4 linked regions of the Arabidopsis thaliana genome follow. The protein of the gene in region 4 interacts with the protein of the main gene of each other region in a pairwise test. Each region holds a gene or a part of one and is shown on either strand. Other genes may lie near its edges.

Evidence for each region.
Region 1: the proteins of ARC3 (region 4) and PARC6 interact in binary tests that used the Arabidopsis thaliana proteins (3 or more experiments, as listed by UniProt).
Region 2: the proteins of ARC3 (region 4) and FTSZ2-1 interact in a two-hybrid assay, tested with the Arabidopsis thaliana proteins (one study listed by BioGRID).
Region 3: the proteins of ARC3 (region 4) and MINE1 interact in binary tests that used the Arabidopsis thaliana proteins (3 or more experiments, as listed by UniProt).

The regions. Positions count from the first base shown.
Region 1 is NC_003074.8:6,630,770-6,637,798, forward strand, and holds PARC6 (plastid division protein), read left to right. Parts: upstream 1-1,867; 5' UTR 1,868-2,040; coding exon 2,041-2,343; intron 2,344-2,642; coding exon 2,643-2,756; intron 2,757-2,833; coding exon 2,834-2,971; intron 2,972-3,046; coding exon 3,047-3,151; intron 3,152-3,242; coding exon 3,243-3,365; intron 3,366-3,575; coding exon 3,576-3,944; intron 3,945-4,046; coding exon 4,047-4,142; intron 4,143-4,286; coding exon 4,287-4,403; intron 4,404-4,811; coding exon 4,812-4,877; intron 4,878-4,962; coding exon 4,963-5,715; coding exon of another isoform or gene 5,716-5,778; exon of another isoform or gene 5,779-5,822; coding exon 5,823-6,013; intron 6,014-6,099; coding exon 6,100-6,184; 3' UTR 6,185-6,523; downstream 6,524-7,029. Other genes in the region: PREP1 (presequence protease 1), read right to left, coding at 1-4, 379-553, 820-1,105; AT3G19184 (AP2/B3-like transcriptional factor family protein), read left to right, coding at 6,786-6,932, 7,012-7,029. UniProt on the Arabidopsis thaliana protein: Component of the plastid division machinery required for PDV1 localization to constriction sites. Involved in chloroplast division site placement. Required for the proper formation of FtsZ rings at the division site in nongreen plastids (e.g. etioplasts).
Region 2 is NC_003071.7:15,196,850-15,202,355, reverse strand, and holds FTSZ2-1 (Tubulin/FtsZ family protein), read left to right. Parts: upstream 1-1,752; 5' UTR 1,753-1,887; exon of another isoform or gene 1,888-2,339; 5' UTR 2,340-2,423; coding exon 2,424-3,056; intron 3,057-3,221; coding exon 3,222-3,521; intron 3,522-3,606; coding exon 3,607-3,697; intron 3,698-3,998; coding exon 3,999-4,123; intron 4,124-4,325; coding exon 4,326-4,418; intron 4,419-4,500; coding exon 4,501-4,695; 3' UTR 4,696-4,987; downstream 4,988-5,506. Other genes in the region: AT2G36255 (Defensin-like (DEFL) family protein), read left to right, coding at 628-688, 776-954; AT2G36240 (pentatricopeptide (PPR) repeat-containing protein), read right to left, coding at 5,200-5,506. UniProt on the Arabidopsis thaliana protein: Exhibits GTPase activity which converts GTP ligands to GDP.
Region 3 is NC_003070.9:26,082,999-26,087,012, reverse strand, and holds MINE1 (homologue of bacterial MinE 1), read right to left. Parts: upstream 2,452-4,014; 5' UTR 2,293-2,451; coding exon 2,191-2,292; intron 1,317-2,190; coding exon 729-1,316; 3' UTR 501-728; downstream 1-500. Other genes in the region: RRG (sporulation protein (DUF155)), read left to right, coding at 3,582-3,871, 4,002-4,014. UniProt on the Arabidopsis thaliana protein: Acts as a topological specificity factor during plastid division and specify plastid constriction sites (such as the Z-ring) in a MCD1-dependent manner. Especially involved in epidermal plastids division in a FTSZ1-dependent manner.
Region 4 is NC_003070.9:28,164,312-28,172,086, forward strand, and holds ARC3 (GTP binding protein), read right to left. Parts: upstream 5,803-7,775; 5' UTR 5,631-5,802; coding exon 5,314-5,630; intron 5,089-5,313; coding exon 5,030-5,088; intron 4,869-5,029; coding exon 4,804-4,868; intron 4,552-4,803; coding exon 4,417-4,551; intron 4,011-4,416; coding exon 3,962-4,010; intron 3,851-3,961; coding exon 3,738-3,850; intron 3,659-3,737; coding exon 3,587-3,658; intron 3,443-3,586; coding exon 3,332-3,442; intron 2,987-3,331; coding exon 2,808-2,986; intron 2,587-2,807; coding exon 2,270-2,586; intron 2,118-2,269; coding exon 1,783-2,117; intron 1,584-1,782; coding exon 1,479-1,583; intron 1,364-1,478; coding exon 1,226-1,363; intron 1,007-1,225; coding exon 840-1,006; intron 747-839; coding exon 683-746; 3' UTR 517-682; downstream 1-516. Other genes in the region: AT1G75000 (GNS1/SUR4 membrane protein family), read left to right, coding at 1-275; LPAT4 (lysophosphatidyl acyltransferase 4), read left to right, coding at 7,468-7,775. UniProt on the Arabidopsis thaliana protein: Together with MIND1 and MCD1, regulates FtsZ ring positioning in chloroplasts in an ARC6-dependent manner. Z-ring accessory protein involved in the initiation of plastid division and division site placement (might functionally replace bacterial MinC).

The sequences.
Region 1 (7,029 bases), on a different chromosome or scaffold from region 4:
CTTCCTGCATTAACAACGAAACTATGATCTAAAATTGCTTCCATTATTAGTTTTTGCAAGTCTTTCACAAGGAGGTGCCTGTGGGACCAATATCTACTGAAAGTGCAGTTGCTCATATCGACTTTTAACAAAGCGTTAAGTAATTTGACAAGTTGTAACCTCCAAAACTTAGACCACTTTACAAGTACCAATATATTAGAAGAAGAAACGAAATGACTAGGTCTAATCAGAAAAAAAAAGCTTTGATGAGTAGAGATAAACTTGACCATTTCAATTAGTTAAATTCAAGGAGTGAAGCTTTAGGTACCAATTTCAATTGCCTAATACATACTCAGGTCAAATTTACAGAGAGTAAAAATTATTATGAAGTAAACTTACGGAGGAGTTCTGAAAACAACACCGAAGACCTTGTTCTCATCCTCATTTGACACAGACATCACCTCGCAACCAGTTTTCTTGTGTTTGAAGAGTATCGCCTTTGATTTACACTCTGAGATGAATTCTTCCGACACTTTTTCAAATCCAAGCTTCTCAGCCTCATCTTGACCTACATCTGAATCCAAACAACCAAAAATAAGGAAAATCACGCATCAGCAGAGGTTACACATGGCTCCATTTGATTACAAAGTAGACACAAAGCATGAGATGAAAAATGCACCACACGGACCACACCTATCTACAATTCACAACCTATCCTAAAGTAAGAACCACAATTTCACAAGTGCCACAAATCAACATGTCCGAATTAAGAGAACAAATCAATTAGCAATTAAACTTCAAACAGATTGAAAAAAAGAAGTATATGTGAAAAATTCCAACCAGGATAAAGTGGAGCGGGTTGTGTGGCGACGGCGCGAACAGAGAGGCGAGAGAACTGCCCATTGACACTGCGAACTGCGGCGGAGGGAATCCTCAAACCTCGTCGGAGCAAAAGACGTCTACCGGCGACTGAGGGAGAGGAAATTCGGCGAAGATTGCGACTGGGGACACGGAGAGCTGCCGTCGACGATGTGAGAGACATGTAAGAGCGAGGGAACTGACGAAAGAAGCGAAAGAATAGAGAGGACGAGCTGCGCGAAGCTAAACAAGAGACGGTTCGGAGCATAGCTACCGGAAAAAAAATATTCCCGGCGGAGACTGCTACTGACGGAGACGAAATTAAGGATATTGCAAAGAAGCTAAATAAACCCAACGGCAAGAGGTTTTATCCTTGTGTAGTTGTGTGTTTTTGCTTGTAGAGGAAAAAAGTAAAATAAAATAAAATGAAATACCTCATTTCTTGTACAACACACAAAATTATTGTGAAAAATATTCTCTATTTTACTAAATTGGCATTTTATTTTTCTGAATTTTTAAGTCGGGACAAAAAAGAGGTGCTGATTTGCAAGAAAGGAAACGTGGTTCTCATATAGCCAAATGTGTTTGAGTGTTGCAATTTGCTATCCTCCAAAAATATAATGACTACAAAATATCTTAAATCTTTTTTCATGATATTAAACTTAAGTGAAAGTATTACAAAATCTGATCAAGTTAAAAGTTTACACCAGACATATACTTTCCAGGTATTTGATTCAGAAAAAATCATATTGATCAGATTTAAACAAATTTTAAATTATATATAAGTTTTTTCTTACACACAAATTAAACCTTTGATCAGTACTAGACTACTGGTAGCATGCGATGAGCTTGCAGTAGTTTCTCTCGCACATTAGTTATGGGCCGAGAGCTAGGCCCATGTCCAGGGACGGATAAAATAATCTTCCAGATGTTTCTTTATTATCCACGTGGCGTGATCACGTGACCACGTCTCGTCTCGTCTAGTCCTAGATTAGCAGAGCCTCTCTTTCGGCCAGCGGGTTACCTTATTATCGTCACAAGACGAAACTTTCAGAAAAAGGCAAAAATCACTGTCAAAACTCAAAAGCCTTGAGACCAAATTTCCGATTTTTTCTCCTCTGAAGAAATCCAACAAATTGTACCATGATTCCAGCTTCACTCTACTTCTTCTAGGGTTCGTTCGTTTTCTGGAGCTGTTGCGCAATGCCAGTAGCTTACACATTTCCAGTTCTCCCTTCTTCTTGTCTGCTTTGCGGAATCTCCAATCGCAGCACCAGCTTCGTCGTAGATCGCCCGGAGCTTCAGATCTCAGGTCTCCTCGTCGTTCGTTCTGAATCCGGTGAATTCTTCGGTTCTGGTTTATCTTTGCGGCGGTTTCAGCGAGAAGGACGGAGGAGGTTGAATGCTGCTGGTGGTGGTATCCATGTCGTCGACAATGCGCCGTCTCGTACTTCTTCTCTCGCTGCATCTACCTCTACAATCGAACTCCCGGTTACGTGTTACCAGGTATTTTGCTCCGACTGACTTACTTTTCGGAATCTCTGTAGATACTACTATCTCTCGCGATTTGCTACTTAGCTCCTCGTTGAAGTGCAAGTGGAACTTGTTTTTATCCTTCTAAATTTTGTTGAAATAGAAACATTTTCCTCCAATTTGTAGTCTCTAGCGCGTAGAACGAGATGGATGTATTGATTTGGCAATTTAATATTGTATCATAGTTCATTTCTGCAATAGAGTGTAAAGAATGTAGCGTTTCGTTTGTTAGACATTATTCCAGGATACTGTTAATTGTATTGATTTTGCAGCTTATCGGAGTTTCTGAGCAAGCTGAGAAAGACGAGGTCGTTAAGTCGGTTATAAATTTGAAAAAAACTGATGCTGAAGAGGGTTATACAATGGAAGCTGCTGCAGCTCGCCAGGTTAAGACCTATAGTATCACTAGAGTTGGACAGGGAATGTGGCTTCAGTTTCTTGATACTTTGTTCTTAATGTGTAGGATCTTCTCATGGATGTTAGGGATAAACTTCTTTTTGAATCAGAATATGCTGGTAACCTAAAAGAAAAGATTGCTCCTAAATCTCCTCTCAGAATTCCGTGGGCATGGTTGCCTGGTGCTCTATGCCTTCTTCAAGAGGTACTACTTCTGACCTTTTATTGCGTTTTATCCCTGCAAATGTTTTGTACTGATCTTTCTGCTACTATGCTTCAGGTTGGACAAGAAAAACTTGTGCTGGATATTGGCCGGGCTGCTCTCAGGAACCTTGATTCAAAGCCATATATTCATGATATATTCTTATCTATGGCACTTGCTGAGGTAAAATCAAATGAACTAAGAATGGGAACTAGTTATCTACTTTCACTATCCTCTGCTTCTTCTATCTCTAATATGTTTGTTTTCCATTTAGTGTGCAATTGCCAAGGCTGCTTTCGAGGTTAACAAGGTCTCTCAAGGATTTGAAGCTCTTGCTCGTGCTCAAAGTTTTCTGAAGAGTAAAGTTACTCTTGGGAAACTTGCATTGTTAACTCAGGTAACAGGTTCTACTGTCTTGCATTAGTATATATAAAGCTTCTCTGAGTTTACTTTTAGCCCTGTTACTGGCTTGAATTATTAAAAGTGCATGATCATGCCTTACTGTAAATCGCATCATGTTTAGGAGCTTCACATATAAGTACGTATTGTCCAAAAGCATAATTTACCAGCATATTGGGTTTTAAGGGGTTAAAATTGATATTTATAGATTGAGGAGTCACTAGAGGAGCTTGCACCACCTTGCACATTGGATCTACTGGGCCTGCCACGCACGCCAGAAAATGCAGAGAGGAGGCGAGGTGCAATTGCCGCGCTACGCGAACTGCTCAGACAGGGCCTTAGTGTTGAAGCTTCATGTCAAATTCAAGACTGGCCATGCTTTTTGAGCCAGGCAATTAGCAGGTTATTGGCCACAGAGATTGTCGATCTTCTTCCATGGGATGATTTAGCCATTACACGGAAAAATAAAAAATCACTGGAATCCCACAATCAAAGAGTTGTTATTGATTTTAATTGTTTCTACATGGTGTTACTTGGTCACATCGCTGTTGGATTTTCAGGCAAGCAAAATGAAACGGTATATCTCGTTTTCTTTCCTTTTGTTAAATTTAGACTGATTGGTCCATTTCTTCTCTACTCTATCTGCTTATAAAGCATAACATTCAGTATGCTTGTGTAGATTAATAAAGCAAAAACGATATGCGAATGTCTCATAGCATCAGAAGGTGTTGATCTGAAATTTGAGGAAGCTTTTTGCTCATTTCTTCTAAAACAGGTATTTTTCCTCTTGCTTTCTTTATTCTTTTTCCCTATCAACTATGCTTGTGCATCTTATTTACTTCAAGTTCACTTGCTTCGAAAGATCCTTGCGTTGTTCATTTAGTTAAGTGCTACTGGACCTACATGTTGGATAGCACAGGGTTCCGAGGCAGAGGCCCTGGAAAAACTTAAGCAGCTGGAATCAAATTCAGACTCTGCCGTTCGTAATTCGATCTTGGGGAAAGAGTCGAGAAGTACTTCTGCTACTCCCTCACTGGTAAACCTTATGATTTTTACCAAGAATATGTGTTCATTTGTTGCTACGACTAGAGCGAGGGCTATGCCTGATGTAAATGGCATGATCAACTCTAGTGGAGTATGAATAAGTTTGAGCTATGTTTCAGGCTGTAATTGAAACAATGGAAATAGATACATTTAGTGGATGGTAGTTAAATTCATAGAATATGCTTTAACAGCATTGTGTATGCCTGCCGTTAACATTTTCTTTTTCGATTGGTTGTACATACACATAAATCTTAATATTTGTTTGAGTAAGCCCTTGGGTTCATGCACTAAATTTAATTTGGAAATTTTGCAAGTATGTACATCTCTTCGCTAGCTCTGATTTTTTTTCATAGAAAGATTGATAGCGACCTTCATACATGCTACCTATAAAATTGACCAGGAAGCGTGGCTAATGGAGTCCGTGCTTGCTAACTTTCCAGACACAAGGGGTTGTTCTCCATCTTTGGTAAGAATCAGATCACTACTGGAAGATTCTGTATAGCAGTTCTATTTTTATGCAGAAAGATAATCATATATACAACTTTCTGCAGGCCAATTTTTTCCGGGCTGAAAAGAAATATCCAGAAAACAAGAAAATGGGGTCACCTTCGATCATGAATCATAAGACGAACCAAAGACCACTTTCCACAACACAGTTCGTGAACTCGTCACAACATCTTTATACAGCTGTCGAGCAGTTGACACCAACAGATTTGCAGAGCCCAGTGGTATCAGCCAAGAATAATGATGAAACCAGTGCCAGTATGCCATCTGTTCAACTGAAGAGGAACCTTGGTGTACACAAAAATAAAATATGGGATGAGTGGCTCTCTCAAAGCAGTTTGATCGGAAGGGTATCTGTTGTTGCTTTACTGGGTTGCACCGTGTTCTTCTCTCTGAAGCTATCAGGCATTAGGTCTGGTAGACTACAGAGTATGCCTATATCGGTTTCTGCTAGGCCGCATTCAGAATCAGATTCTTTTCTGTGGAAAACAGAGTCTGGGAATTTCAGAAAAAACCTTGATTCTGTGAATAGAAATGGTATCGTGGGAAACATCAAAGTGCTCATTGACATGTTAAAGATGCATTGTGGCGAACATCCGGATGCCCTGTATCTGAAAAGCTCTGGTCAATCAGCTACATCATTGTCTCATTCTGCGTCAGAACTGCATAAGAGACCAATGGATACAGAAGAAGCGGAAGAGCTTGTGAGACAGTGGGAAAATGTTAAGGCTGAAGCTCTTGGACCAACACATCAAGTTTATAGCCTTTCCGAAGTCCTTGATGAATCCATGCTTGTCCAGGTTACTGTTTCTATACATCTCCTATTATTCCTTTACTTAATTATGTTAGTTTACTACAGTTGAACATCAATGTTTAGGTAGAGTCAATATTTCTTTGTTTAATGCAGTGGCAAACATTGGCACAAACAGCAGAGGCGAAATCCTGTTATTGGAGGTTCGTTCTGCTTCATCTTGAGGTTTTGCAAGCACATATATTCGAAGATGGTATTGCTGGTGAGGCTGCAGAAATCGAAGCTCTTCTGGAGGAAGCAGCAGAATTAGTTGATGAATCTCAGCCCAAAAACGCAAAATATTATAGGTAAAAAAAAACATTTCGCTTTCGGGTTACTTTTGGACTGAGCTGGTATCTTCTTCACTGATGCAGCCTTTGTAAATTTCTTGTAGCACTTACAAGATCCGATATATTCTGAAGAAGCAAGAAGATGGATTGTGGAAATTCTGCCAAAGCGATATTCAAATACAGAAGTGAAAATCCCCCAGAAAAAAAAGCTCATCATCTAACTAAAGGTTGTAGCATCAACAGTAGAACATGGGATCATTTAGCTAACGGTTGTTCTTGTTTACCTAACGGTGTAGGAAAGTCTCAGGTTTGTTTCTTTATTCCTTAGTAACCCACAGGATTTGTCTTTGTAGATTCTTTTGATTTCAATGTGTTTATGGATAAACAAACTTCTTGAGTATTTTTTTTATTATTATTGTAAAGCGTTACTGATCAAATCAAATGTTTTCTTAAAATAGTTAAAAATATTAAGGGATCTCAAAATAATTGTTAATTATGGAGGGAAAAAAAAGAAACGTCTTTTAAGAAGCCCATACCTGCTTCACGTATCACGATGGAGGCTTACTCAGACCTTCCACTGTTGAGAATTTGAAATTTCAATTTGTTTGATTAGACACAATGATTAAGATTTTTATTACATAAAAAGAAAAAAAAAATTGGAGAAGTATAAACACATACATAGCGGTGAAAGAAGAAACCCAACGGTCACTCAAAAGCGCATTGAAGAGTCAAGCAAGACTTGGATCTGTCTCTTTCGTTTCTCTATCTCTGTTTCGGATTCCTAAGAGAAATGGTGGAATCGGAGCTAAGCTATGAACAGATTCGTTTGAATAGGGTGGAAGAGAACAAGAAGAGAATGGGGGAGCTTAATCTCAACAAGCTTGCTCAATCTCTTCGTGTCTCTTCTTCTTCTTCTTCTTCTTCCAAGCCCTCACCAGTAACGTTTCCTTTCTCTTCTCTTCTCATTTCTTCTTTTCTTTTTCTGAAATTAACCAATTTTTTTTATGGAAATGTAGGCAAAGCCAAGAACGATG
Region 2 (5,506 bases), on a different chromosome or scaffold from region 4:
TGGCGGAAAAGCTAATCGCAAAACATGAGATTATAATTATGCGACATGTCAAATTGTTATGAAAACATTTTATATAATAAGAAATTTATTTGGTATAGTATCATATGAAACAAAGAGTCAATACAATATCAATGTCATTATATGTGCTCATTATGTTAAGTTGAGTCAAGGCACTTTACTAAGAACACTTCAATAATTATATTTAACTATTTCTGTGTATTCATACGTATGATACAAGGTTTGGTGTTCTATATACTTTATCCTCATCCCTTGAATTTTAGTTGGGCCAAAATAATGACATTAAAATTATAATATGTTGCTATATAAAAAATTGTTACAATTTGGATGCAACATAGAGAGATCATTAGCGAGACATTGGGTGGATCGTGCAATTCATTTCTGTTTTGTCAACTAGCAATTCAAATTATGGCGACATTATATACATTAATCCATATTACACAAAAACTAATAAACTATATATGTCTTGGATTCAAATAGAAGAAATAAAAGTCAACGAGTTTGCCCTATAAATGATTCTATGCTTTCAAATAGTTAGCTACAAGCTCATCAATCTCTGCTCTATTAAAAAAAGAAGAAGAAGCAAACACAAAACAACAACAAAGAAATATGGCAAAGCTCATAGTTAACTTCTCTGCTCTCTTGATGATCATCTTGTTGGTTTCTAATGGTAATTTTAAGATTTTCTTAACTTCCTTTGTCCTATATTAATATCGATATGGATGTGAAAAGATTAATGTGAGAATGGTTAAAACAGGACTCCCAAAGGCGGTAGCCCAAACATGCTTTAAAGGTGAAGCTCAAGAGGGTGTGTGTGTTAAAGTTGACGGCTCAAAATTGTGTGACCTTCTTTGCAGGGCAACCAACACAACTTGGTTTGGGGCATGTGAAGTGGAAGACAACGAGACGCACTGTCACTGCTACGGACCTTGTTAAGTATCTCATCCGGACGCAAAACCAAATATGAAACGTGAATAATTGTGTATCAGTACCTAAATAATGTGTGCATTGCTTATGATCAATGTCACATATCTACATGTGTGTTCCATGTTTGTGTGTTTTTATTTTATCGCTTTCAATAAATTTGCATCAGCACCGTAAATGTAGCTGATGCGATAAATGAATGTAAGATTAAATCTGTTTATTATGTTTGCTTTTGGTGTTCCATTATCTCTCCTATATATATGTCCTCTTCTTTTTCTTCATTCTTGTCATTAATCTATATGTATGTGCTATTTTTTGTTGAACAAAGGCTAATGAGTCTTATCTATAACACCAAATCAACTCCTAATAGTAATAGAACTCTTAACCTAAACTCAAAAGAAGTAAAGTACAAGGAAAACTCTAATCAAAAGTTCAAAACCATATTCCTAAACCATGAAACATAAAGGAATATCACAACCTCGAAACTCTTTTGCCGTAACGACTAGAGTTGCTTTTTGTTTTTAGTTAATTCAAATGATGACATTATTGTTCCAACTATGTAATGTAGCCACCACATTTTTCTTGTAATTTTTTTTGTTTCCTTCATAAAATTCATTTAGCAAATTTACACAAAAAATTCAATGAAAGTACATGAAATGAAATTTAAAGTACAATCATTTCCCATAGTTTTTTTTCTTACCAACACCAACATAACAGTGATAAATTGGAACAAAATTTTACCAAAATAAAAATAAAAATTTTATGAACAAAAGCATTTTTTATATATTTTTTAATTATTGGGGGTTTAATGAATTTGAGATATTTACTAGTCAGAAAACACCAAAACCCTCCGTTTCGTGGGTTTCCTCCAGACCTTGAGCTCCTTGTTCAATTCACACTTTTTCTCTCCCAACTCTTCTTCCAGGTTTCCTCTGCTACTCTCAGGTTTCTCTTCTCCACTTCCCTCCAGCTTTATCCTTTTGATTTCGTCCTCCATCTTACTGTATTTACCCAAAAATCTAAGCTTTTCTCAGTGTTCTTCCATTTCTCTACTTTGTTTTCATGTAATGCTGCAAACTTCGCAATACCCATCTTCAATTTCTTCAATTCGTAATGGGAAAAAGCATTTTAGTTTAATTTGGGTTTTGTGGTTCCTCACTTGTTTCATTCTTCTAAGTCTTAAACCATCCACTGATTCTCAATTTCTGAGGATTTGATATCTATTGCTGGTTAACAATGGAGCATAGATGCGACTGGGTTTTGTTTATGTTAACTTTATGAATGTAAATCACACTGCTTTGTGGCTACTTTGTGGATTTCGTGTTTTACTTTGTGGCTGAATCATATAACTCTAAATTGAGAGCTTTGGGTTTGACCATTTAGCTTTTTATGAACAGGTCTTGTTAGGGAAGTAATCAGTGGAATTGGATTTAGTCTTTTGGTTCTGAATTTTGTAAAGTCCTGCAGTGATTGGTCTCATTATGGCAACTTACGTTTCACCGTGTTTTACTCCTTCGGATTCTCGGTTACTAACTGTTCTTAGAAAGAATGTTTTACCGGAGAATCATTTAGGCAGGTTGAACTCCATTAGAACGATTGACAGTAAGAAAAACCGAGTTGTTGTTGCCGCTCAGAAATCTGAATCTTCTCCAATCAGAAACTCTCCACGGCATTACCAAAGCCAAGCTCAAGATCCTTTCTTGAACCTTCACCCGGAAATATCTATGCTTAGAGGTGAAGGGACTAGTACAATAGTCAATCCAAGAAAGGAAACGTCTTCTGGACCTGTTGTCGAGGATTTTGAAGAGCCATCTGCTCCGAGTAACTACAATGAGGCGAGGATTAAGGTTATTGGTGTGGGAGGTGGTGGATCAAATGCTGTGAATCGTATGATAGAGAGTGAAATGTCAGGTGTGGAGTTCTGGATTGTCAACACTGATATCCAGGCTATGAGAATGTCTCCTGTTTTGCCTGATAATAGGTTACAAATTGGTAAGGAGTTGACTAGGGGTTTAGGTGCTGGAGGAAATCCAGAAATCGGTATGAATGCTGCTAGAGAGAGCAAAGAAGTTATTGAAGAAGCTCTTTATGGCTCAGATATGGTCTTTGTCACAGTATGTCCTCAAATCTTTATTATTACTATTGCATTTGTTCTTCTTAGTTATAAACTTTGATTGTAGAAAAAGAGGTATGTGTCATTTGTCAATCACTTATCAGCTAGTTCTGGTCTCCATCTGTCCAAAAGAGTGAGGTTTATATGTCTCTTCATCATTTTATAGGCTGGAATGGGCGGTGGAACTGGCACTGGTGCAGCCCCTGTAATTGCAGGAATTGCCAAGGCGATGGGTATATTGACAGTTGGTATTGCCACTACGCCTTTCTCGTTTGAGGGTCGAAGAAGAACTGTTCAGGCTCAAGAAGGGCTTGCATCTCTCAGAGACAATGTTGACACTCTCATCGTCATTCCAAATGACAAGTTGCTTACAGCTGTCTCTCAGTCTACTCCGGTAACAGAAGCATTTAATCTAGCTGATGATATACTCCGTCAGGGGGTTCGTGGGATATCTGATATCATTACGGTATAGCTTTTCTTATGGGCATCCTGTGATCATTTTTTTGTGTATGGCAAATGATTTACCAGCTACGTTTGTCCTTGATTTGTAGATTCCTGGTTTGGTGAATGTGGATTTTGCTGATGTGAGAGCTATAATGGCAAATGCGGGGTCTTCATTGATGGGAATAGGAACTGCGACAGGTAAGTTTGGAATGATGGATAAGCTCATTTAGCTGCATAGTTTCATAAGCAGAACCATTAGTCACTAGATATGTGTCGAAATAGTCTAATTGAACTAATGAGCTAGTAGATTGGTGTGGCAAAGAAACCAGTCTAGTGACTGGGATACTGAAAATGACCATATTATATTCACTGTTACTCAACTATTGTGCATCTATGTCATGATGTAATAATCAAAGTCATGAACCTTGAACTTCTTTTGCGCAAGGTTTTGTTTTGTTTGCAACGTGCTGATTCTTTCATGCTACTTGTAATCATTCAGGAAAGAGTCGGGCAAGAGATGCTGCGCTAAATGCAATCCAATCTCCTTTGTTAGATATTGGGATTGAGAGAGCCACTGGAATTGTTTGGAACATTACTGGCGGAAGTGACTTGACATTGTTTGAGGTTTTTGTCTCTCTCTCTCATCTTTGTTTCTTATCTCTATGTCGATAGATCCATAAACAATAACTGGATCTTGAGAGACGCATTGACAGGGTGTTAAAATCATTTATTTTCTTCCTTCCATAGACAACTTAGAGCAAAGCCTGATTTTGCTTCATACCCCTAAGATGCTCTATAGTTTTTCATACACTTTGGTCTTGTGTAGGTAAATGCTGCTGCAGAAGTAATATATGATCTTGTCGATCCAACTGCCAATCTTATATTCGGTGCTGTTGTAGATCCAGCCCTCAGCGGTCAAGTATGTCCTTTATAATGTTTCTTCTACTAAACATAGATAAGACCTCTAGAGATGATAGAATTGATGTTTTTTTTGGTAAAAGGTAAGCATAACCCTGATAGCTACGGGTTTCAAACGACAAGAAGAGGGAGAAGGACGAACAGTTCAGATGGTACAAGCAGATGCTGCGTCAGTTGGAGCTACAAGAAGACCCTCTTCTTCCTTTAGAGAAAGCGGTTCAGTGGAGATCCCAGAGTTCTTGAAGAAGAAAGGCAGCTCTCGTTATCCCCGAGTCTAAAGCCCAATCTAATCACTACCCTGCACACTGCAGCAATAACAAACGTGTGTGTACTGGTAGTCTGGTACTGCCTTCTGGGATACAGCAAGATGTGTTGATGTATGATCAAGAATCTGTGTGGGTGTGTATATGTTCTGTCACTGCCTCTGGTCGTGTTCTTGAATAGGTTGTTTTAGAAATCGGAGTTTCTCTCTATGTCACTTCCAAAACAAAAAAGGAGAAGAAGAATCACACTTCTCGAACCATAAACATACTTATAAGATTATGAGAGTTTTAGCAGAAATTATTGTCATTTTTCATTCAGTTAATAAAAAAATCAATAGCGATATACCAGCAAACAACTGTGACTTTCGAATAAAAAAAGTTCATCTCCGACGCATGATTCTGTGGCAATGTGCAGCAACCAAACAAAGAACCAACTTGGTTTCCATTTCATATGTTCAAAATAAAATTTGTTGATACATAGATATAGCTTGGGTCTAGTTTACACAGATCAAACACAGGTTACAACATCCGGACTTGTTTCCTTGAGAATTTTCCAGTGCAGGACAAGCCATCCATCAATCTATTATATGTAAAGATATCAGGCAACATATCTTTATCCAACATCTCGTTCACTAGAACTTCTCCTTCCTTTCTTCTCCCTTCTTTCGTGAACCCCGAAACCAAAACATGGTACGTTGTCTCATCGGGTTCATATCCTTTGCTTGATGCCAAAAGTCTCAATCTGTTTGCATCAGTAGAATGATCAGAACTGCAGAGATCCCGAAGAAGCAAGTTAAATGTCACACTATCGGGAAGAATTCCTGCA
Region 3 (4,014 bases), 2.1 Mb from region 4:
GAGACACAACAAAACCACTTCCTCAAGCAATTTTGGAGAAGAACGTTATCTCAAATCAAACGCCACTCTCTAGACAGATGAAGAAGACTTTCCCCAATTTCGAATTCCGAATTTCAAATTTGTAGACTAGAGCTTTCCCCAATACCTGAGCTCTTTCAAAATTCACAAACGGGTTAATGGGCTTATGGCCCAATATCTATTGTACATACTACTTTGAATGTTTGTAGTCGTAGATGATAAATCCGGATTTTTGGTTCGTTTTCGGTTTGTGTTTTGGGATTTAGTTAAAGTTATAATTTAATTTTAGGCATGTCCATTTCGGATCGGTTGCGTTCTGTATCTGTAGGTAAAAAATCTTGTTCTATAACAGTTCTTGTTTGAAAATATTTATTTTAGTCGAACAGGTAAGAGATTCAATAGTCCATTTCTATTTTTGTGATGGGAACCATTGCACCATATTTTGATTGAGTTTAACTTATATAGTTTGTGGTTAAAGTATTGCAATTGAATATGATTAACTTCACAGAATGTGAAACTAAAATAGGTTGAGCCGACCAGCTCGTGTCAAACACAGTAAAAAAACTTATAAGAAAAGAGAAGTTGCATATATATATATACATGGGGAGTGTCAAGAAACTGTCTTTGTTCCCTCCAGACTAAACTTGAAGAACATCAACATAACAGACAAGATACTATCCAGCAAATAAATCTAAGACTGTGCCTTTTCATCACTCTGGAACATAAAAATCGAACCTGACATCGACAGAACCATCACGGGTATCTTTGTATTCCACGTTGGTTATGGTTCCAGCCTCGTCCACGTCTTGGTACTCTGGTTTCACCCTTCTAACAGGCACCGTGACCGAGTAAATGGTCCCAAGGTCACCGTCCGTGGAAACATTTAGCTGAACTTTTTCCTCTGATTCTATCTCTACGAAATCCGACAGTGCATGGATAATGTTGTTGACGATTTTCCTTTTAGCTTCGTCACTAACATCACACCTGTCGGAGAAGAGGATCATCTTGAGCCGCTGCTTTGCAATTCTTGCGTTGGAGCTTCTTCTTGATGCGTGAGATGGGAATATTATCTTCCAAGCCAAGTTTAACCTGTCAAAGAAACCCATGTTGATGGCATTATAGAGAAAGCTCTCTATCTCTTGCTCTGCTGGGCTTGGTGATAGTTCATAGTCTCCGGTGTTCCTTGCAAGAACCTTCACCTGACCTCGTGTGTTTTCGCGGCTGATCGCCAGTCCAGGAGTACATTTCTGAGTTTCCAAACTGTTTACGCCATTGCTTATGAATCCCGTGAAATCAACCTGCAAATTTACATCCATCACCCGCAAAAAGGGACTGTAATTTCAGACTAGTTGCATTTTGAGAACTCAGTAATTGTTATCGTACATCTATAGGTAAAGCAACTATAACATCAAAGCTGACCTAAACGTATATGTTTTCTAACAAAGTAGCAAAACATCAGGTCATAAACACCACAAACATCTGCATATATCTAACAGAAGACCGGTCTAGTCTACGTAATCCAAGGCACCACCACCATTGTTAAAAAGACTTAATATGAGCTACAAGCTTAAGAACATATTCACTCTCTTTGATCATCTATAGGTAAAGAAGCAACTGTAACATCAAAGCTCATCTTAAACTTAATGAAATGGTTTTGTAACAAAATTGCAACACATCAGGTCATAGCACCACAAACATCCGCACATATCTAACAGAAGACCGGTCCAGTCTCGCTCTCAGTAATCAAAGACACCACTTCCATACTATAAAGACTTAATATGAGCTACAAGATAAAGAAAATATCAAAACTACAAAAAAGGAGGATGGTCATGGAGATGGATTCGTTGGCTTTCCTAAAAACAAATATACTTAAGTTTTGTTACTAAAATCCTTCATTTCCAAGTGCCTAAGTAAAAACACAGAAACTGGAATGATAAACTTTCAGGAGCTCGCGATGAACAAGCAAATCTAGAGCTAGAGAGAAATTGTGAAATTGTTCCAATAAAAGACGCATTTCAGATTCTTCCTAAACCACACAGACATAGAAACGAAAGATCGAAGCTAGTAATCTAAGTTCTCCTAATTTGGTGGCGAATTTCACGAGCTCCAGATCCCAAATTGCAGCGAAGAGAAAATTTGAATCGTAGAGTAAGAATTATAAGAAAATCGGACCTTGGAAGAAGAAGAAGGTAATGAGAGGCGATTACGGTGGTGATGATGATAAGGAGATACTAAGGTCGCAGAGATCCTGAGAGTTCCAGAAGACATCGCCATTACCGAGAAACTTGAAATTGCTCGCCGGAGAAGTGAATCTTTTTCGTCTCAGTTAAAAGAGAAATGAGATTACGACGACTCTTCTTACAAAGTAAAAGGCTATCGAGCACTTTAAGAAACGCTGTCGTTTAAAGGCTTGAAACACAGCGTTTTAACAACTGCCTAACCGATGTCGTATCATCTATTTTAATATTAAACCAAAACAACAAAAAAAAACTACTTTGCAACTTTTGGTGTTTGAAGTTTAGAAATTAGAAGAATGACGACAATAGTACCAACTCATTCAAAGGTTTTCTATAACTCATTCAAAGGTTTTCTATAAGCAAAATGTAAGCTTTATAAAAAATCACATTATTGGTAAAGCTGTAGGCAACCACAAATAACTAATAAGTAGTTTTCAGATTTGATGGATTGTAATATTTGTTCTTTAAACTTCAATCTAACAAAATATCCGTAAAGATGACTATTTGCATTCTTGCTGTTTTATTAAAAATATGATCTTTTGACAAAAATATTTCAAGTTTTATAGATAAACCACGAATAAGTAGTTTTTAGATTTGAGAGATGTGCTTTTAGTCAAGTGGTTAAGTTCATTTGATTTCGTCTTTCTATCGAGGTTCGATTCCACTAAGTCGCGTTACCCTATATAGTAGAGTTTGACTATATATTGGACCTTCTAAAAAAATAGTATTTAAATTTGATGGATTATAAAATTATTTTTTAAAGTTTAATTTATAAGAAATCTGCAAAATTGACTATATGCGGGGTTATTGGTGTTTTATCAATAATTATGATCTTTTTGATAAACTTGTTCCAACTTTTACAAATAAATCGCATTGATCTCGGAAAAAAATTGAAACCCTAGAGAATTTTCCAATCCCATAACACTTGGTAAGGACTAGACATTCGTCATTCTTCTAAACTTCAAAAACCAAGGCTACAAGATTAGGGCTTTTCTAACTTAACATTTTTCCAAGATAGGGTTTTAGGTTTTTGTTTTGGCTTAATATGAAAATGCTACAAGAGGGTTTTAAACTTTTTGAAACAAGTTTATTAAACGAACCGCTGTCGTTTTAGTTAATTAAACAAAAAACACAGTCGTTTTGAAACAAGTAAAACGATCATTTGATTAGGGGACTGTGGTCACCGGCGGCGAGAACCAAGGCTTCTTCGTAACCAAATATCTTTCGATATCAAAAGACAATCTCTCCAAAATACAAATTGACTAATATAATAAGTCGAGAGATTCTGGTGCAGAGGACAAAAAATTTCAATTTTGATTTCATTGAATGGGTAAATGGAGAGCAGTAGCTGCTCTTCTTCTTCGTAATCAATTACTCAATTCTTCAAAAAGACTAAACCTTTCTTCTTCTCCATGTGTTTCGAAACACCCAACGATTGGTTTAGCTTCTCGCTTTCTCAATTTCCGACACTTTTCAGCGTTCCCTTCTCCGATTTCGATTTACAACAATGACTCTGATTCTGGGTCGAATGATGCATATCAAAACTATGAATTTGGAACAGAGGCAGAGGAAGCACTAGGCAAAATCCCTATCAAAGCCTATTTTCTCAGTACTAGGTATGTACATCTTTGGTATTGGGACTCACTAGTGAAAGTTTTGAATTTGGAATCTTTACAGTTTGAAAGTTGAAGTCTGTTATGTGTTTTTCATTTATAATTTGGTTTCTCAGAACTATGGTTTTGGCAGTATTGATTTGAAG
Region 4 (7,775 bases):
ACGCCGTTGTGTACGGTTACAGGTTCTGGACGGAGATTGGGTTGCGTGGCGCGTGTTTTCCGTTTGTCGGAAACTGTCAAGCCATTCTGTTAGGGTGTATGACGGTTTGCCACGTAGGCGTACTCTGTATACACCTGGTCAAACGCGGCGGTTGTAACGGTATCGGTGCTTGGTTGTTTAACTCTGTTCTTAACGCCGTTATCACGTTGCTCTACTTGAAGTTTTATTGCAAGACGCGTTCAATGATGACCAAGGCTAATCACAACACCACATAAACCTTAATCATTTTTGTATTATTGAAATCATCCGGAAAAAAAAAATCAGACTTCAGCTAAAATATGAAAACTGGAGATCAGATTTATTCTGTTGATGTTGTTGTTGTATGATAATTAGGAATAGGAATCATTGTAGTCTTGCTCTCCGACACAAAATATATTATATAATTTTGCATTATAATAGCTTATTTTGATCTTTTGAAGATTCGTCACTTTTCTCAGGTTGCAAGGAAAGAAAAAGTCAGGTAGCTTTCGGTATTGAATTCGTTTCTTTTAAACATCTAATCAAAGAAAAGGAGTTTTTAAGTCACAGGAATACTTTTTATGAATCACGTTTTGTCATAATAATAACCTGAGAAAAGACAAAATCGATATGCACTATATAGTTACAGCATTGCCGGATGATATCAATCTCCGGCGTCCACTTGTTTCCGGTCAATGAGAACACCGTCGTCCCAAGTTTCAGAGTATCTGTAGGAAATAGCCGTCAACAATTTTGAATAAACTTGGGGTTGCTCCTTTTCTGATTAAGATAGGGAAAAGTTTTTTTTAAGAGTCACTGACCTTGTTCCATCCAAATCTATACAGAGGAATTGTCCGTGGCGCCAACCATCTTTGAAATGTCCAAAGAATATCTCACCGGACTTTGAATAGAACCGGCCTTCGCCACTGGCTTTTCCTTTCCAGAAATTTGCAAACCATCGATCACCTTTGTGGAAATAAAACCAACCCTGCAAGACAAATGAACAAGTTTTGTTTTTCTAATAAGAGATATATTTGTACAGTCCTTTATCAAACCTATTCGATATATTGGGGAAGTAGGAAACGCATTTTAAATGGCACCAGCTTGACAAAGTCTTAGGGACTTGGTGGTGAAACTAAGCAGTTGGTGCAAAAGTGTAGTCTCAATAAGCTAATCAAAATTCGAAAAGGTCAAAAGACTATTTCACCTTTCCGTGTATTAAATCTTCTCTCCATGTGCCTTGGAACACGTCTCCATTCTTGAAGTAGAATGTTCCGAGACCAGATCTTTTACCGTTGTGCCACATTCCATCATATATGCTTCCATCTCCAAGTACCAAACGACCCTGGTGGGAATAGTCAGCTGTTACTTTCGGATTAACTAAGAAGTCTGTCTCAAACATAAGAAGAGGATCCATGGATGAATTGGTTTCAATGAATAAAACTAACAAGACAGATTACCTTTCCTTCGGGAAGGCCTCCTTGGCATCTTCCCTTGAAAAGTCCTCCTCTGTACTGCATCTCAAGAATAGGACTCCATCTTTTTGATGAATCTCGTTCAGCTTCCTAAGAATTAAAAATGGAAAATTTTCTCTCAGTTGGCATCGACTTGGACGATGTTTTTACAGAAAGACTCTTCATCATGGTTGCAGACTGAACCAAGGAGAAAACTTTGCCTCTATATGCATTATTGTTTGAAAAAGCAGCCCACTAGTAAGAAGATGATTGATATCTCAACCTCATAAGCTGGTACATTGCTACTTACCAGCATAGACGATGCTCGAGCGGATAGATTTCTTTGCTTTGTAAAATCAGCATATTTCTCAGATAGCAGGGTAGATGCAGTATCACTAGAGTCTTTTGTCGAGCCATTAGGGTTGAAAAATGATTCTTCTCTGGAATCAGCCTTCCTAGAGAGTTGACTGGCAACACTGAGATTACTGTTCAATTTCTTCGAAGGTCTCACACCAACAGGAAGGTTGACAATTCCCAGGCTAAGCACTGCAGTGTCTCCAGAATCAGCTTGCCATTTCTGCTCAATCTGATATCCCTGATCCATACTCCAATTGGCAATAGGCTCCCTCTGGATAGCACCAAAATCTACAAAAGATGACTTTCATTCACTTAATCACTTTTAAAGTAGTTTAGGGCGTCACTACTTCAGCACCCTATAAATAACAAGTAATAAAGCATCTCGACCAATACAACATACAAAAATAAGCAGCAACAGAAAGTTGTCTTCAATTTTGTACCTTCTACATTTTCATCTTTAAGATCCAGACGACTGTTTCTGGATGGTTCCCCCTCTTTTAATGGGTATTCACTATCATCACCGTTCTCAGAAACTTCCAGGAGGTCCTCAGAGTCAATTTCAAATTCCTCAATATTCTGATTGGAAGTTTTTACGTCAGTAGAGTCTGCTGAATCTTTAATTGAAACTGGCGTCTCTCCAAGTCCAATATTTGTTTCTTTTTGGAGCTGTGAACGATATCTCGTGAAGATATTTAAAACAAAAGGAACAAGACCAGAAAAAATGTTGCCTTTGTTGGATGTTTCCACTTCTGAAGAACTGTGATGACATTTGAGACTAGCATTAATGCTTAAAAGTGGTCACGAGAAATAGAATCTGAGTCTTGGTCAAAAGCATCATAGATCTTAATCAAACACATAAAAATATATGGTATAAATGCTGAAACCATATATTTACTTTTCTTTGTTGATTTTCAGCTAAATATGATACCATATGCATGAGCTTGAAATTGTTAGCTGTCACTAAACATGAAGACACACCTTAGAATAAAAAACGTTGTGACACGCACTTTAGGCTCCAGATCAGGCTCATGAACAGTAGATACTATAATATCTCCAGTGTACTCCATAGTTTGACGGAAAGTACGAAGAATTGTTTTCACGTCTTTCTTCTGGAGAGGTACCGAACTAGCCACAATGCATATAATAGCGTTTAGATCCTGCATGTTGGTAAAAGCATGGTTGAGACTTGAGAAGAAAAAGGTTACTTTGAATAACATAATTTCGTAAGAATTATTTCAAGGAGCATATCATTCGAGAAAAATGCCAAAATACACACAAACAAAAATTTCAAATACCCTTGCTCCTTTGGGAGAGTGATACCATCTGTTTTACCGGTTTTTTATAAGTCACTATGTTTAGATTTATTTTTTCCAATTATCAAATCCTCGAATTAATGTTTTTATATTCACTTTATTATCAGACGAATGAGGAAAAAATCAAACGAAGAACTTAAGTAGGCAGATGAATCTTCTGTCGAAAGCTCTTTAACAGATTAGAAATACCTTTAGACCAGGTCGAAAGAATGGGCAGTCATATATAGCTCGTAATATCGAAGTCTTAAGGTTGTGACCAACTCCAAAACCAACCTTTGCCTCTTTGTAACTTTCTAGAATCTGTACATAAGAGAGTTGAAGGATTGAAGACAAGCTGAAACTAAGGGTGACTATACCATACAGACAAATGAAATCTCAAGAATAGGTAAGACTATGAAGATTTTTACTACTAAAACCCAAAAGAAACAATTCCAAGAAACTTACCGTTTTAACTTCTGAACCTTCAAGTTCTTTAAGATCTTTATGCATCACATCGATGAAGTTTCCATGCATCCCCTAGATAAACCCATGTATGAAATGACAAAAAAAATTGAGTATAATATGAGAGACAGCTAGAGCAGAAAAGTAACCTTACACTTATCAGAGCGGAAGCTGCATTTATTGCCATAGACACAGCATTGTTTGCATTTCTCAGCGCCTCGTCCAAAGTTACCAAATCCTTCTGTAGTAAAACCTCTATGTCGATATCTACAACGCCCAAATTAAAGTCAGTTCATGGCCAGCAGAACTACTAGAAGAAAAGGTAATTTTTCTGACGCTATTGTGTCAGGAAATATTTCACAATGTTAATAGACGTACCTATACAGAAATTGGTGTGTTGCTGCAGTTTTCTAGCCAACTCGTTAACCTGCACACAACCTGGGAAATTAGAAAAAGAGAAAAGGCTCTAACTAGCAATACTAAATGAAGTTGAACTTGTCTGTAGATAGGGACGTCATTTACTGGGCTGTTTTCAGTTTGTTATATGGAATACTGTATATATTAAAAAATGTTGACAAGAAATGGAGATGACAGAGATTTGGGAAGGTGTGTTGTTGGAAAAACATGAAGCCACTCGAAGGTTCTCCACCTAGTTTTCTTCTCTATCAATTCAGGTATACAAGTTCTACTTACAGCACCAATAAAAAAGTCCAAACACGTAACTAACTGCTTTAATCTTATTATCAAGACTCTGGGATGATAAAATGAAAGTCCAAATTGGCTCTTTTGGTACATAGCAATCAACTACAACTTTAGAAGCAACAAAAAACTACCTCTTCTAGACGCTTTCGGCCTTCAAAGCTGAAAGGCTTTAATAGCACAGCAACAGCTAAGTTACCCCCAGATCTTACTGCACTAAGAATATTAATAGCTTCAACCTGGTCAGAACCATATCCAGCACTAGCCACCTGGCAAGGGTAACAGTTTAAGCAGAATCAGATGCTCGGCCAATACTATTCCACGAAAATAAAATTCGAGAAAAATTGAAAACCATTAGCATTTCATTAAGAGCCTAAGCGAATTTCGGAACCATGGTTGTTAATAATCACTGATCAATTAGACACTGTGTATCTTTTGCTACCTATGGAACTGCGAAATTCAAAAACGTTTTTGTAGCAGAAAACAGAACACAAACAATGTTAGGCGAGAAAAGTACAAACAAGGATGAAGGCCCTTGGACGTGACTGTAACAGCTCAATTGGATTCATGGTCTTCAAGGCATTATCTGTAAACAGAAAGAGAGAAGCGATAAGTAAGAAAGATAGCATATCCCTCTAATCTTCTTGAACAACTAGCTAAATATATGCTAGTTGTTCAAGAATCTGTTTTTAATCAAATTCAAAACTCAAACGGCAAGAAGAAACAGGAAAAGAATAGATTATGGACCTTGGTGATTGAGCCTCTGCTGTAACACTAAACCTCCAGAGCTGTCCTTGCTAATACTCCTGAAAAAGTAGATTTGGCAATTAAATTTGATCCCTTTCACGAATACACAGAGCGTACGTAATCAATTCAAGCCATAAGCTTCGTCACTAGAAGAAAGCTACACAATTTAGGAGTGTGCTAGGAAAGTCAGTAACAATAAACTATCAGATTTCGAAAATTAGACTACAACAAAGTGGCTAGTAGATAAAACAGAATCATGGGCCGAACAAAAGTCGAGCATATACCAAAATCGCAGAGGAAGAGAAGGAAAAGGAGAATCCAAGCATGAATCCATGATAGACTCCTTGCGACTACCGATGACAAGAACCTCAATGAACTCGTCAGACCCATCTTCTCCAGCTCTCTCGCACGTCTCTATCGGAGCAGAATCCCTCACTAAGCACATCACGCAAATCCGACGCGCCTTTCGAGATGTACAGTTCAATCGCGTCGTAGCACCAAGGGACGAAAACGGAACTCCAAAAGTAGGAAGTAAAGCTAAACGAGAGAACAATGGTACTCGGAGAGTAGAGAAAACTGGAAGTTCCATAGAAATCGGCATTGCTCCGCTTCTACGGAACCACTTCTTAGAATACAGAACAATTTAATAAGTCACATGAAATTGATAGATGATGAGATTCGGTCGGAGCATAGCATGTCTGAAGTTCTCCCGATAATTCTGAAGCAGAAGAGGGAAGAGTGAGAAAAATATCAAGTTCGCCGGCACCGTGAACTGATTATTTATTCATTAACCCTTATATTACTACTTATTTTAGTTTTGACCTCATATTTGTTTTTATTGCTTATGTACCCCTACTGTAAGTTGACGAATCGGTGGCGGAGATTAACTTTTGAACCGATCAATCACATCCTCATATTTGGTCTACTATCACTTTTAATAGTTTACTTTCTTGGTCAATGATATATTTTATAATCAAATTGTTTCATTATAATAAAGAAAGAACTTATCTTAGTCTTCTACAATAATGAGTCCAATATATTCACTAAACAAACAGTTCTTTCTTAACAACAACTAGAGAAAACAATTTCAAGGAAAAATTTTACTTAGAAAAAATCAACTAGACACGATTTTTTCTTCAGCATTTTATACATGAATTGTTATATTTTTTTGGATATAACTTTATCTTAGAAGAAAATATACTTATACCATTGTAAAAATAAGGGAATTTGGTCAAAAATTCCAAAAAAAAACTTATACTATTGTAAAAATAAAAATAAATGACATCGAAATAATTAATAAAAACATCTGGTCCCCATGAAACTCGTATATTAATACTTCAGATCCAAAATTTATGAAAAAATATCAAGCTCAATGTATTAAATTAAAAAATATAAATCATTAAAAGCTAGATTTTATTCTTGTTTGGTACAACCAATAATAATAAGTGGGGAAAAGTATTAATTAGAGTTTGCTTCACGTTTGAGTTTCACAAAAAGTGTAACGACGCCAGGAGAATTTTATCGGGTCGCAAGTGTCACCTTTGTGGATTTTGTCTTCCCTGCAACTTTTGACCTTTTCGCACTCAGCGAATCAGATCGCTATAGTACGGTGCACCCTACCGTCTCTGATCATCCCCACTGTCTTAATTAGATCCGACCCGAAACGTATCCTTCTCTGAAACTTCGTTTGAGATTCGCATTCCTCTGTTCTTCCACCATTTAACAATTATCCTCTTTTGTCTTCGCCAACTTCTTCCGTTTCTTCATACTTCTCCAGGTACTTCGTCGAGTTCCTCGTGCTTTAGATTGTTTTTGCTTTTTTCGAAGATACGTGAGAGAAGTGTTTCTCTTGCTCTGTCTCTTCTTTGATCTTATATCACGTGGGATCTGATTTTTTAGTTGCGGTATTCACAAGTCTTTCCCAATTTGAGGATGTTTTGTCTCCGTGATTTCTGTGTTTTTGTTTTGGAATATTGATGATTATAGATTCGAAATTATGCAGCTTTAGATACTAACTAAATGACGAATCTTTTCTCATTATTCGCTTGTTGAATCTTCCACTGAGCTCATAGATAAGGAATTCTCTGTTCATTGTTGCTTTTAGAGCTTAATTCATGTTCCTGAGATTCAAATTTGCAACCTTTTTCCCACTTATGTAAGAAAAAATGGCTTTTTATATATTCTTCATTCATGGCTGTGTTGATTAGGAATCTCTAATCTCTATGTCTACTGTTAGATTAATTGTTTGGTATTGATACTCAAATTGCATATATTTAGGTTCTTGCATTGGTTTTTTATAGTATCTTTTCTGCAACTGAGTCTTTGTATTTACCAAAAAAAGAAAAAAACTCAATCTTTGTGGGGAACTTAAAGGTGGCACTGAGTAATATTTGAATCTCATTGCTGCAGTTTTGTCTTGAGGTTTATCTGGAAAAAAGATGGAAGTTTGCGGGGATCTGAAATCTGATAACTTAAAGAACCGCCCCTTGACTCCGCTTAGGATTCTGAGGGGCTTGATGATCCTGCTGGTGTTTCTGTCTACTGCTTTTATGTTTCTGCTGTACTTTGCACCAATAGCTGCTCTAGGTCTACGGCTTCTGAGTGTGCAACAATCTAGAAAAGTTGTTTCGTTAATCTTTGGTCTCTGGTTAGCTTTGTGGCCTTACCTGTTTGAAACGGTTAACGGGACAACTGTGGTGTTCTCTGGAGACATCATTCCGGTTGAGAAACGTGTTTTGCTTATTGC